3 linked regions of the Mus musculus genome follow. The protein of the gene in region 1 binds, or shares a complex with, the protein of each later gene. Links are inferred from orthologs where the notes say so. Each region holds a gene or a part of one and is shown in the gene's direction. Other genes may lie near its edges. The genes, in order: Kcnd3, Kcnip2 and Kcnip1.

Region 1 (3,607 bases):
AGTAATGGGACCAGATACTCTCTTCTGGTGTGTCTGAAGACAGCAACAACATACTCATATACATAAAATAAATAAATAAATCCTTTAAACTCTCTTGTAATATATATTGCAGTTATTCTACATAAGATAGGGATTAATATATAGTAATATGATGATCATAATTTGTATGATATATATTCATATATGCATATGTATATGTGTAATTATGATATATGTGGTTATAAAATAGAAGGTTACTTTATAGCTTTCTCAAACATCCTTGAAGTTAGTCATCTGTCCCCACCCCTCCTTGCCCTCCCTCCTATCCCTCTCCCCCCTTAAGCCTCTCCCCCTGTTATTCTCCTTTCCCCTTCCTATCACCCCTGCTCTACTATCCTCCCTCCCTTAAGGGACCACCAATGGTCACTTTCTGGGTTTGTGCATTCTACAGATACTCCAAATTAACCACAAGTCTAAGTCTTGATGCTAAAATCCACATAGGAGTGAGAACTGTAGCGTTTGTCTCCTGGGTCTGGTTACCTTTTCCCCACAGGGCTTTTTAACGGGATCATTTACTCGTGTGTGGCCTTCCTCATAGAAAGCAGCTCCATGAACATAGGTGGTTTGCTTCTTTTGCTCACTTTGGGATTATAGCCCCGACTCCCGTGTATAGTAGCTACTGTGGCACACTAATGAATAAATGAATACATTAACGAGTGTTCGAGCAAGTGAGTGATTGGCTATGAAGCCCCACTTGTTTCCCACATGGCCTCTTACTTATATCCTCTCTCTTGTGCCCACCCCTCACCCTCTCTCTTACAGATATGGAGACATGGTGCCTAAGACAATCGCAGGGAAGATATTTGGCTCCATCTGCTCCCTCAGCGGTGTCCTGGTCATTGCCCTGCCGGTCCCTGTGATAGTCTCCAACTTTAGCAGGATCTACCACCAGAATCAGAGAGCAGATAAACGCAGGGCACAAAAGGTAAGTCTTAGAGACAGGGTTGGAAGAGGGAGTAGGAAGGGTGGGAGACTCAGACAGCCTTGCCAGCCCTAGATCCTTTGGAGGATCCCTGCATGGACGTCCTCTCACTTGGAAAGATAAGGCGGTGTTGTATCCTCCTACCCACCAATGTCCTCAGTTAGCCTCAGTCTGCTGCTATAGAATGCAACAAACCTTAAGTTATTGACACAGAACCTGATTGTCCTCCATGCAAGTAATCTATTAACTGACACAATGCTCCATTTCTATACCCCCAGCCATGGCCACCAAGCAGCCCACCCAAGAGCTTACCAGGAAACAAAATGCCACTTTAATATCCTGTTGAGGGCCTGTACAAAACCAAGTGACAAAAATAAATGTGCAGAAAAGAAAAAAAAAATGAACACTGTGAGAGGAGAAGAGACTGTGGCCACTGAGTTCTAGGTCAAGTGGAACATCAAATATTAGTAAGCACCAGGGTGCCATGTCAAGTCACAGGACTCAGTTGATAACTAGAGAGTCAGCACCAGGCCTGGGCAAAGCTCTGGGTTCTGCCAAGTCTGTACTGAGAAAACAGGTAAGTGAAATACCTTTGTCTGCCCATACAGAGCAAGATGCCTACAGGCTGCTGTGCTCAGAAACCCTTTTCTCCTATGGCCTTCAGGCTTCTCTCTGGGACAGCAAGGTCACACCACAATTCCAAGGCATCATCCAGAGATGATTCCTGGCAAGATTTTTACAAGGGTTCTGTATTATTTGCCTGGCTGTGACAAATGCCTGTCATATATAATTAAAAGAAGAATCACTATTCGGTCACCGCTTCAGAAGGCTTCGTCTGTCTGCTTGGCCCTCAAACATCATGGCGACAGGGGGAGCACATGATGGAGATTACTCTTCATCTCTTGACAGACTGTGGCGGAGATGGAGGGAATGTCAGAGCTCCGCTGTCTTTCTTTTTTCATCGGAGCCCACGCCCACATGCTGGCACCATTCCCATTAAATGGGTCTCTCTCTAGACAACATAGATACTCCCAGAGGGTGCCTCACCAGTCTCCTGAGGGATTCTAAGTTCCATCAAGTTGGGAAAGACTAGAAGGCAAGGGATACCTGAAGGGAAGTGTCTACTTCCCTTTTGATCTGGGATGAAAATGGTACCTTTATTGCTCTGGAGGTCATGACCTGTGCCTCTGTGTACACAGAGGTCAGTCTCTGTAGAAAAGACAGAAGGGCACCTTGTTGGAAGATGAGCTTAGAGAGAAGGATTTTGCTCTTTTGTCTTTCTTCCATCCTGTCACTCCTACAGACATTTATGTAAGCACCTTCCATGTGACAGGCCTAACAGCTAGATTACTTGCTCCCACTGGCAGAAGTAATTCTTGGGTAGCAGGAATTACCATACAAACGAATCTAGAACCTAAGAACAGGTCTGTGTATACTGGCTATAGCATAGTTATAAAAAGCTACAAATTTGCCGGGCAGTGGGGGCACACACCTTTAATCCCAGCACTTGGGAGGCAGAGGCAGGCAGATTTCTGAGTTCGAGGCCAGCCTGGTCTACAGAGTGAGTTCCAGGACAGCCAGGGAGATACAGAGAAACCCTGTCTCGAAAAACAAAAACAAACAAACAAAACAAACAAACAAACAAAGCCACGAGTTTAAGCTAACTCTAAAACAATGGTATAACGACGTACACCGAAAACAAATAGCAAAATATACAATGAATAATATAATCATACACTAAGCCTGCCCCTGCATCCTAAAAATGACCTCTTGCCAGTCATTGTCTCCCTTCCTCCTTACCTTCTTGTTCCCCTGTACCCATGCCTGGTCTGTAATTTTGCCAGCCATAAATTCTTTCTTCTGAGGTCCTCTGTCCCCTGTAGCATCTACCTTCTATCTCTTCACCCAAGGTCAAGGTCTCCTCTCTCCCAGACACTCCTGAAATGGAAGTCTTATCTTTCCCTGCTCAGGGCAGCTGGTAAAAGTGAACAATGACTAAATACATCACACAGTTCTAAATAAAGGAGCAAAGAAAACCTGGCTATCACATCCAAACCCCGAGGCCAGGTTACCCTATAGCACATTTGCTGCCCTTGCACCTCCTAACCCCTGGCAAGCACAGACACGGGGGGGGGGGGGGTTGGTTTTGGTTTTTGGTTTTTTTGGTTTTTTTGGTTTGTTTTGTTTTTTTGCAGAGCGGGTAGGGTTCTCAGAAGTGCCAGGCTCAATGGTAAGAGCCCCTCCAGAGGTAGCTGTGCTCTGTAGCCACCTTTCCCTCCCTGCCTACACCATTCCTACTTCTCAAAGAAGCTCATCTGCCAAGACTATAGCATTGAATGTTTCCCGCAGACTGTATAAAGCTTATGGTGTGTGGTTAAAATCCAGCAGGACTAACTCTGGCTTTTTCCTCCCTCTAAGCTATTCAAGAGGAGCCCTCCACAACCCCTTTCTCTATCCTTTGAACTAAGTAAATATTTACATGTTTTCACCCAGCCTGGATGCTGTTTCTCCTCCAGGTGGCACAGCTCTGTCTCAGTCACCTTGGGCTTCCTGTGAGAGAGAAAAACAATACTGTCTGCTCCCAGCACTCAGTCTGTCATGGTGAGCCAAGGCAAGGCTGACTCAGGGGATTTAGAGAAAGTGGAG
Region 2 (4,136 bases), on another chromosome or scaffold:
TTAAAAGTTGATTTGTGTGTCTTTAGTGTCTCGTTAGTGTCTTTTCCCCTCGTCATCTCTTTGATGCAGGTATTGGTCCTGTGTCATAAAAGGACCTCTTGGCCTTGATAGAGGCCAGCTGAGTTCAGAGAACTGTGGTTTCCCTTGCCTTTGGGTGAAAGAAGGGAGTAATGTTATGAGCAGGTCCCTCCGGTTCCGTCTAGGACAAGCAGCCCTAAGCAAAGCTCTCCTTTTTTCCTGACTAGAAGCCCACCCTTGCCGGGTTCCTTCCTGTACACCTAAGACGTTTAGCCTGGAGTCTACAAATCAGCTTGGCTGGTGCCTCTGACAGCTCTGTGGAGGTTTCTGGGAGCGTTCCTTCCAGAGACAGGCCTCCTTAAGGCAGCTGCCTGTCCCAGCCTCATACAGGAACACCCGCCACAGTTCACTGACTCAAGTATTTGGAAAGTAAATCTGACTGAAAAGACTCAATGTGTTGAGGTACTTTAGCTGAGACCTTTGGTCTTAACAGGCCATTCCTGGAGACAAGAGGTGGAGAGAGAGGGAGCTGTGTGCCGGGCTGTGCAGGGCTGTTCCTCACTTCAGAAAATGAGGGAGACATCTCGTCTCGCTTCTGTATCACACTCGGATCCCCAAACCTTTCAGAAGCTCCCTAAATCTGCCGGGAAAACAAAGTCTAGAACAGCAGGTGGGGGGAGAGAAAGGGGCAAAAAAAAAGTTGACTTCTTTCTTTTGCCTTCCCAGTTGCCTGGGGAGGGGGGTGGGTAGGAAGAGTCATCAGATCTGGGAAGAGGGCATTCAGAAAGTGAGGCCCCCTCCGGAACTTGAGATAGACAAATGTACCCAGTGCCACCTGTGAGCCCGTGTCCAGAGGCTGGGTTGGTTGGCTCTGCATCCTCATTCCGCTAGAGAAGGGTGGCTGCTGATTAGGAACACGCAACTCTCGGCAGGAGGAACAACCGAGAATATAAGGCTGAGATGAGGAGCAGAGGGAACCAGGGACTCAGACATACCCCAGGCTCTGGCCCAGCTGTGCAGGACTGGCTGACTGGGGGGCGGAGGGAAAGAGGTGCCTGAGAATTGGAGGCGGGGTTTCTTCACAGCGGGGCTTTTCTGGCCCCCTCTTCTCGAAGCCCCGCAATTGTGGGTGGTGTAGATGGAGAGCTATTCTCCCTTCCGGCACTTTCCAGTTCACCCCTTCACCCGGTGCCTCCTCCGAGCTGCAGAGGGTGGGGGGCGGGGGTAGGGGGAGCCAATCCCGGCAGCGCCTAAGGGGGGAGGCGGCAGTGACAGCCGCGGGGAGGGGGCGGAGGAGAGGCGGCTGGGCTCAGGCTCGGCTCTCAGCTCCACGCTGCCTTCTGCTCCGCTCTCACTTGCTGCCCAAGGATCCTGCTCCTGCCCCGGGACTCTGAGGTGGGCCCTAAAATCCAGCGCTCCCCAGAGAAAAGCCTTGCCAGCCCCTACTCCCGGCCCCCAGCCCCAGCAGGTCGCTGCGCCGCCAGGGGGCACTGTGTGAGCGCCCTATCCTGGCCACCCGGCGCCCCCTCCCACGGCCCAGGCGGGAGCGGGGCGCCGGGGGCCATGCGGGGCCAAGGCCGAAAGGAGAGTTTGTCCGAATCCCGAGATTTGGACGGCTCCTATGACCAGCTTACGGGTGAGTAGGTGGCTCAGGGGTCCTGGGAGGGTGAGCAGACTCCATCCCCCTAGACCCTTCCATCTCTCTGCCCCCTGGCTTGGCCCTTATGCACACTCTGCCCCATTCCTGTGCACCTTGCAGGCTGGTCTAGGGAACAAGACCCTAGGATTTAAAGCTTTGGGTCCCTAGGGGGCTGAGGAAGAACAGGTGGGGCAGGTGTAGAGAGGCAGCAGGTGTAGGCGTGTGTGACACAGGGCTAGGAGTGTGTCTGGAGTGGGAGGTGTTACGTGCGGGAGCACCTGTCGTTCCTGTGTGTCTGTGTATGTATGTGCACCTCCCACAGCTGTTTGCCGTGTGCCTTGAGCGTTGGTGACAGCCGGGGTGAGTGTGTTTGCATGAGGCAGTGCGATTTTATGGGCTTGCCAGATGTTTGAGTGTGGTTGTGTAGGACCCCGGCTGCACTAGTGAAGTTTGTTCTAACCATATGTCTGTTACATGTTCAACTGTGTGCTTTGAATGATTCTGTGTGAAATGGCGTGTGACAACCAGAGTGGTGTCACTTGGTGGTGTTCTGTCCCTTAAGAAGACTTCTGGCATGAGTATTCATTAAAAGTGTTTGTGATTGTGGGGCTGTGGGTTGTTTCAGCATTTGGTGCTGTCCACTCTCAAGCATGATGCCTGCAGTGGGGGCCCCTGTGACTGTTAATGGCATTTCTGTCCTCTTTGCCTCTCTGTCTTCCGGGTGTTAGCAAGGGTCTTTCTTTAGTGCCCCCCATTTGCTCCCTCTATTTCCTGCAAAAAGCTCAAGGACCCAAAGAGAGACCCACCACCCTGGGGTTCTAGCCCTTGGCCCCTGTAGAGAGTCTTTGGTTAGTCCTGGGTTAGTTTCTACCCCGGAGGGTAATTACTCAGGTCATTCTGAGCATGCAAAGCTTCTTTAATTACCAGCAACCCTATTAGAACTTCATCTAAACCTCTTGCTTTCCTTCAGAATAAAGACAGAAACTATGGGCCTATGAAGTGTGGGAAGGCTCCCCTCCCCCCAACCCCTCCCACACCCGTCACTTTGTGGCCCACCTTGGGAGGGTCTATATGTGTGTGTAGAGTACTAAGCTTGGTAGGTAAATTCTGTTTATGTAAATGACTTTGTCACCTTTGTATATTTCCATATTTGTGTCTCGTTGTGTAGAACTCCTAAGAACTCCAACGAAGAGTAGGAGGGGGGCTGTCTGTCCAAAGACAGAAACAGCGATGGGCAAGTGGGGAAGACCATAATCCTTGCCCTTCTCAACAGAGTCAGGGCAGAACCTGGGAAGCAGTGAAGGGGACCAGGATCTAGTGCTCTGAGAATAAGTCTCAGCTACTGACTTTGGGATGACCCTAGTTGCAATGTCAGGACACCAGCGGTGTGTGAATGTGTGACCCCATTCTGCTCTGTGCCCGCCATCAATTCAGGATCCTTGAAAGCAGTAAGGGTCCAAGAGCCCCCATTAACATGCGATTAGTTAGTTTACTTCCTACACCATTCTCCCCTTTAGTGAAATATTCTCCTCGCTGGGCTACTCGATTTATTTATCGTGAGCGAGTGTTTTGCTGCATAGTCCTGGCCTTACTATGTAGCCTAGGCTGGACCCAAACCTTAACTTCTCCAGTCTTCACCATCCTTGCTGTAGATGGCTCTGCACGTGACTGGAGAGCACTATGGAGACCTCTCCTTTGTAAAGAGAGGCTTGTCTTGTGACTGGAGTCCTCTGATTGGAGCCCTAAGGAGGAGTCGTTGTCCACGGTGCTGAAGCGTGCTCCCGCCGCGCCCCCCCCCCCCTTCCTTCCCTATGCAAGTTGGATTCCTCAGTTGCATTTGGGATAGAGGAAGAGGCTGTATCCCTATCAACTTGGTTCATTATGCTGGCAGCAAAGTGGTCTTAAAGTTATTATTCGGAGCAACTTGGATACACCCCAACCATCGCAGTCTTATCCCAACCAAGCTCAAAGCAATTGGGAAAGACTTTCTTAGTAGGGGTAGGGTAGGATGTGCCCACCCCGTAACCCCCAATTCTTCGTATTCTTACCTGCCTGGGGGGGGGGGAGGGGGGCTGTTTGGCAGTGCTGCACAGCGGGGAAAGGCTGAATCAGCGCTCAGCAGCAACCCCATCTAAAGAGAGGCCTAAAAAGAACTGTCCAAGCTGAAATTGCGAGTTGGGTCCTGACTGGCCATGCCCCAGGGCCTGGGTCCAGGATCCCTGGAGTCTTGTTCCTTTGGCAATTAAAGTATCGTTCCTGGGGATGGAGCGCCCCCGTGTGGCCAAAGAGCCCTGTGTATGAAACTAATTCCTCGTGGGCACTGTTGCCAGTGGGTTCGAGTAGACAAGGTGTGGTGTTTAATGGTAGCTCTCTTCTCTTAATATAGGCGTGTTCCCCTACCCTTCGCGCACACACAGTGGAAGAAATGGGAGCATACATCTTCTATGGCCTTTCCCAGGATTTTGAAGTGTTTGTAGGT
Region 3 (3,607 bases), on another chromosome or scaffold:
TAGTCTGTAATGACTTCCTCTCCCTTGCAAACCAGCTTTTCATGATAGGGTTGCCTCCAAGGCCCCCCTAAAGATACCCAGGATACATGTGTTTCCCAGTCTCTGCCCAAGAGAGGGCACGAAGAACCTGCTCAGTTTCCACCTCACTACAGACTCCCAGACCTCTCCCCCCCCCCCTCTCTCCCACCACAGGAGTGCCCTAGCGGTGTGGTCAATGAAGAAACATTCAAGCAGATCTACGCTCAGTTTTTCCCTCACGGAGGTGAGTAATAAACACCCTTGGAAAACCACTCTCTGGCATCCTCTCCAGTGCTCAGCCTTCCCTTCCCCAACCCCTCTGTTCTTTATCTCTGTCTTCTTTGGGGTCAGAGGAGAATTCATGGCGAGATTTTTCTTTTCTTACTAGAAAATACAAAACTCTCTGACAAACAAAACGGGGCCTCCTCTAGAAGAAGAATGGCTATTGCAGTGTCAGAAAGTCCTATAACAGCTCCAGGAAGCAGGCATCATGACCCCAGAAGGAACAACGGAGTTTCAGAGACATTAAGCAATTTACTCACCATCACACAGCTTGAATATGGCAGCCCAGGAATAGAAAAGTATATGGGACAAAAGCTTTGTCATTTTGGTTCCTTAAACAGCTAAGGCAGGTTGAAATTTCGTAAACAACATTAGTAAGTACTACAGACCACAACAATCACTGAGCAAAATAAACTGTGGGCAGCGTAAAGTTGTACTTATTTACAAAGTCAGATTAACGAAGGCACCGGACCCCCACCACCTGTCCAAGTAGGAACAGCTCCACAAGGCAAGGTATCCTTCCTCCTGTGGCCTTCTGGTGTCATCTGTCCACAGGTGTCACCTGGACAGTGCAGAACACCTCTCCCGGGGCCTAACAAAATAAAGACTCAAGTGTCCCACATCCTCCTTGGGCCTTTCCAGCAGTACACAGGTGTCTCCCTGGTGTGGGACTCAGTGTAGGATTTCTTTGGGCTGAGAAGGAGTAGTTTCACTTCAGGCTAGCACCTGACTCCCAGTTTATGAACACCTCAGAAACAGTGCTCACTGTGTCTCTCCTCACAAGGAAGTGCCGTGCCATGACAAGGACCCCTGCTCAGGATATCTTTATTCAGCCACACACACATACACACACACACACACACACACACACACATACACACACAGGACCAGGTCACAGAGGAACAGGCAGGGGACACAGTGGAGAGAGAGACAAGAACCTATCTAACCTTTTGCTAGAACTAACTTCTCACCTAAACTCCAGGGGCTGAGCAATGGATCTCCCTTTCCTCTCTCTGGCCCCACCCCTGCTGCCTCTGCCCTCTGGGGAGCCTTCCCTCCACCCCCACTCACCTGCTTTCCCCTCTTCTTTGCAGATGCCAGCACATATGCACATTACCTCTTCAATGCCTTCGACACCACCCAGACAGGCTCTGTAAAGTTCGAGGTATAGTATGTGGGTCCAGTCTGGGAGTTCCCTGTTTCCACATTGCCTCTCCTTCCAAATATGACGGTCCTAATGAAAAGAGTTAATTATCAAATGTCTTCAGTTAAGACAAGAAACTTGATTCATTTAACAAACATCAATTGAAGTCGGAGAAGACAATTTCCTTGTCTAAACACTGGGCTTGAGGGTGGTAGAGAGCTCCCTGTGCTCTGTATGCCGAAGGGCAACCTCTGGACCTAGCATTTCATATTTATTAACCTGCTTAACTTTTATAATAGTGTTTACAAGGCATGGTCGGATTATTATTTATTATCATTTTACAGAGGAAGAAAATGAGGCAGAGACAGAGTGGCTTTTCCAAGATCAGAGAGAGAAAAAAAAAGTGGCCAGGGAGGCCTTGAACACAGGCAGTGTGTTCTCTCACCCTGAGCTCCTATTCACTGGAATGTACAGTCCCTCGGATGTTAGCAACCATTGCAGCCTTGGGTTAGGATCAGCAAGGAAGGTGGAATTAACTGCCTAGAGGTGTCCACACAGTCAGAGCTTAAGTCGTCCTCAGTGGGCATCAGAAACTGCAACAGTGTAGGTATAGGGAATGGAAAATAGGACTGGGCCAGGCTGAGACTGGACATTTCCATCTGCCTAACAGGAGGGTGTGGGAGGTGCCATTTTGGAAAAGCACCATCATCCAGCCTGGTGGCCAGGCTTCTCTCCAGCCCCGAGGTGATTAACAGAGGCCTTCTTCTCTACTTCCTAGGACTTTGTGACTGCTCTGTCGATTTTACTGAGAGGGACAGTCCATGAAAAACTAAGGTGGACGTTTAATTTGTATGACATCAATAAAGACGGCTACATAAACAAAGAGGTAAGTGAGCTGAGAGCAGGGGACATGAGATGAACACACAGAAGAAGTGAAGAAGCCCACACAGCCATGTTCCCTATTCATCCAGACACGGGTGTTCAACAAAGATTGAGAATTCATTCAGCTTCCTGGATGCTGGAGACATCCAGCAATCGGCCCACGTCTGACTGTCATGGGGCAGTGGAGTGGAAAGGACAATCACAGCAAAATGTACAATGACAGGTAGATGTTTTGGTAAGAGTCAGCAAGGGGCTGTCTAATTCGGTATTGCCATACCAAGGGAAAGGCACCCCCAAAGTCAGGAAAAGTATCCCAGGAAGAAGAAACTGCCATTAGAAGATGGGGTTCCCACATGCCCTCCAAACAGAGAGGCTTGTTGGTGGCTGCAGGCTAGGAAGATACGGAAGAAAAGTAGACAGGCTTCAGCCTGGAAGGTTGTCAGGTTCAGATGGTGGAAGGCTGGGGTAGAGAGTCCACTCTACCTCCGGGGAGCTGGGGTGTAGAGCAGAGTTTTCAGAAAACACTAACTACTAACGGTGGCTCAAAGACAGCAGGAAAAGGTAAGTAGCTCCCTGTCCCTAAGAGAAATACAATTCACATTTAAAAACCCAGAAAAGTTCGAGCTCCTCGGATGATTTTCTGGTGACTTCTAACAAAGACCTACAAAGCTGGGGCGCAAGGAACTTTCCAATGTTTTTCTGTAAATCCAACAATACCCCGATTCTGAAATTTGAAATAAAAAAGGTCTGATGGAGAAGACAACTACCATTATTTCTCACGATGACAGATGCAAAAAAACCTATCAAAACTTTAGTAAACCGAATCTATCAATACATTAAAAAATACAGAATAGCGTAACAGAGCAAAGTTCATTCCAGGAATGCAAGGTTGGCTTAACACTCAAACATCCACATCATTCACTATATTTACACAACAAAAAGAAAAACTATATTGACTAAATAAATGCAGAAAAAGCACTTGATAAAAATCACCGCCTATTTATGGTAAACTTTTTAACAAATGGAGAATAAAAGATCCTTTTCTCAGCCTAGTTATCTGATAACTATTTTTAAGAACACTACAGCTAATATCTGCTTAACAGTGAATATTGCATAATTTCCCCCAAGGCCAAGAATGAAACAGGGAAACTGAGGTAAGAAAAAAATAAAGTTTTATCTGTAATAAGCTTGAATTCATAGAAAACAATTCATAGACATCTCAAAGAATCTGCAAAGGAATACCAAAGAAACTACTAAAAAAAAAATCATGAACTTATTTAT

The links.
Region 2: the proteins of Kcnd3 (region 1) and Kcnip2 are in contact, whole or in part, in a cryo-EM structure (PDB 7W6S), measured with the Homo sapiens proteins. The link is inferred for Mus musculus from reciprocal best matches to the Homo sapiens genes KCND3 and KCNIP2. Residues at the interface, in NP_001365898.1 of Homo sapiens: Val5, Ala7, Trp8, Leu9, Phe11, Ala12, Arg13, Ala14, Ala15, Ala16, Ile17, Gly18, Trp19, Met20, Pro21, Val22, Ala23, Asn24, Cys25, Pro26, Met27, Pro28, Leu29, Ala30, Pro31, Asp33, Trp54, Arg60; in NP_775283.1 of Homo sapiens: Arg112, Gly113, Phe114, Asn116, Glu117, Cys118, Val123, Phe128, Ile131, Tyr132, Gln134, Phe135, Phe136, Tyr144, Leu148, Phe152, Phe165, Leu169, Ile172, Leu173, Arg180, Trp183, Ala184, Leu187, Tyr188, Met201, Met205, Ile208, Met211, His228.
Region 3: the proteins of Kcnd3 (region 1) and Kcnip1 are in contact, whole or in part, in a crystal structure (PDB 2NZ0), measured with the Homo sapiens proteins. The link is inferred for Mus musculus from reciprocal best matches to the Homo sapiens genes KCND3 and KCNIP1. Residues at the interface, in NP_001365898.1 of Homo sapiens: Ala6, Ala7, Trp8, Leu9, Pro10, Phe11, Ala12, Arg13, Ala14, Ala15, Ala16, Ile17, Gly18, Trp19, Pro21, Val22, Pro26, Met27, Pro28, Leu29, Ala30, Pro31, Lys34, Lys36, Arg37, Asp39, Trp54; in NP_001030009.1 of Homo sapiens: Leu67, Arg69, Gly70, Phe71, Glu74, Val80, Phe85, Ile88, Tyr89, Phe92, Phe93, Tyr101, Leu105, Phe109, Phe122, Ala125, Leu126, Leu129, Leu130, Leu138, Trp140, Thr141, Leu144, Tyr145, Ile161, Val162, Ile165, Tyr166, Met168, Met169.

Annotation. Positions count from the first base shown.
Region 1 is NC_000069.6:105,657,810-105,661,416, forward strand, and holds part of Kcnd3 (potassium voltage-gated channel subfamily D member 3 isoform 2 precursor), read left to right. Parts: intron 1-801; coding exon 802-964; intron 965-3,607. UniProt on the Homo sapiens protein: Pore-forming (alpha) subunit of voltage-gated A-type potassium channels that mediates transmembrane potassium transport in excitable membranes, in brain and heart. In cardiomyocytes, may generate the transient outward potassium current I(To).
Region 2 is NC_000085.6:45,813,249-45,817,384, reverse strand, and holds the start of Kcnip2 (Kv channel-interacting protein 2), read left to right. Parts: upstream 1-1,321; 5' UTR 1,322-1,581; coding exon 1,582-1,654; intron 1,655-4,136. UniProt on the Homo sapiens protein: Regulatory subunit of Kv4/D (Shal)-type voltage-gated rapidly inactivating A-type potassium channels. Modulates channel density, inactivation kinetics and rate of recovery from inactivation in a calcium-dependent and isoform-specific manner.
Region 3 is NC_000077.6:33,641,154-33,644,760, reverse strand, and holds part of Kcnip1 (Kv channel-interacting protein 1), read left to right. Parts: intron 1-192; coding exon 193-262; intron 263-1,371; exon of another isoform or gene 1,372-1,394; coding exon 1,395-1,465; exon of another isoform or gene 1,466-1,534; intron 1,535-2,222; coding exon 2,223-2,330; intron 2,331-3,607. UniProt on the Homo sapiens protein: Regulatory subunit of Kv4/D (Shal)-type voltage-gated rapidly inactivating A-type potassium channels. Regulates channel density, inactivation kinetics and rate of recovery from inactivation in a calcium-dependent and isoform-specific manner.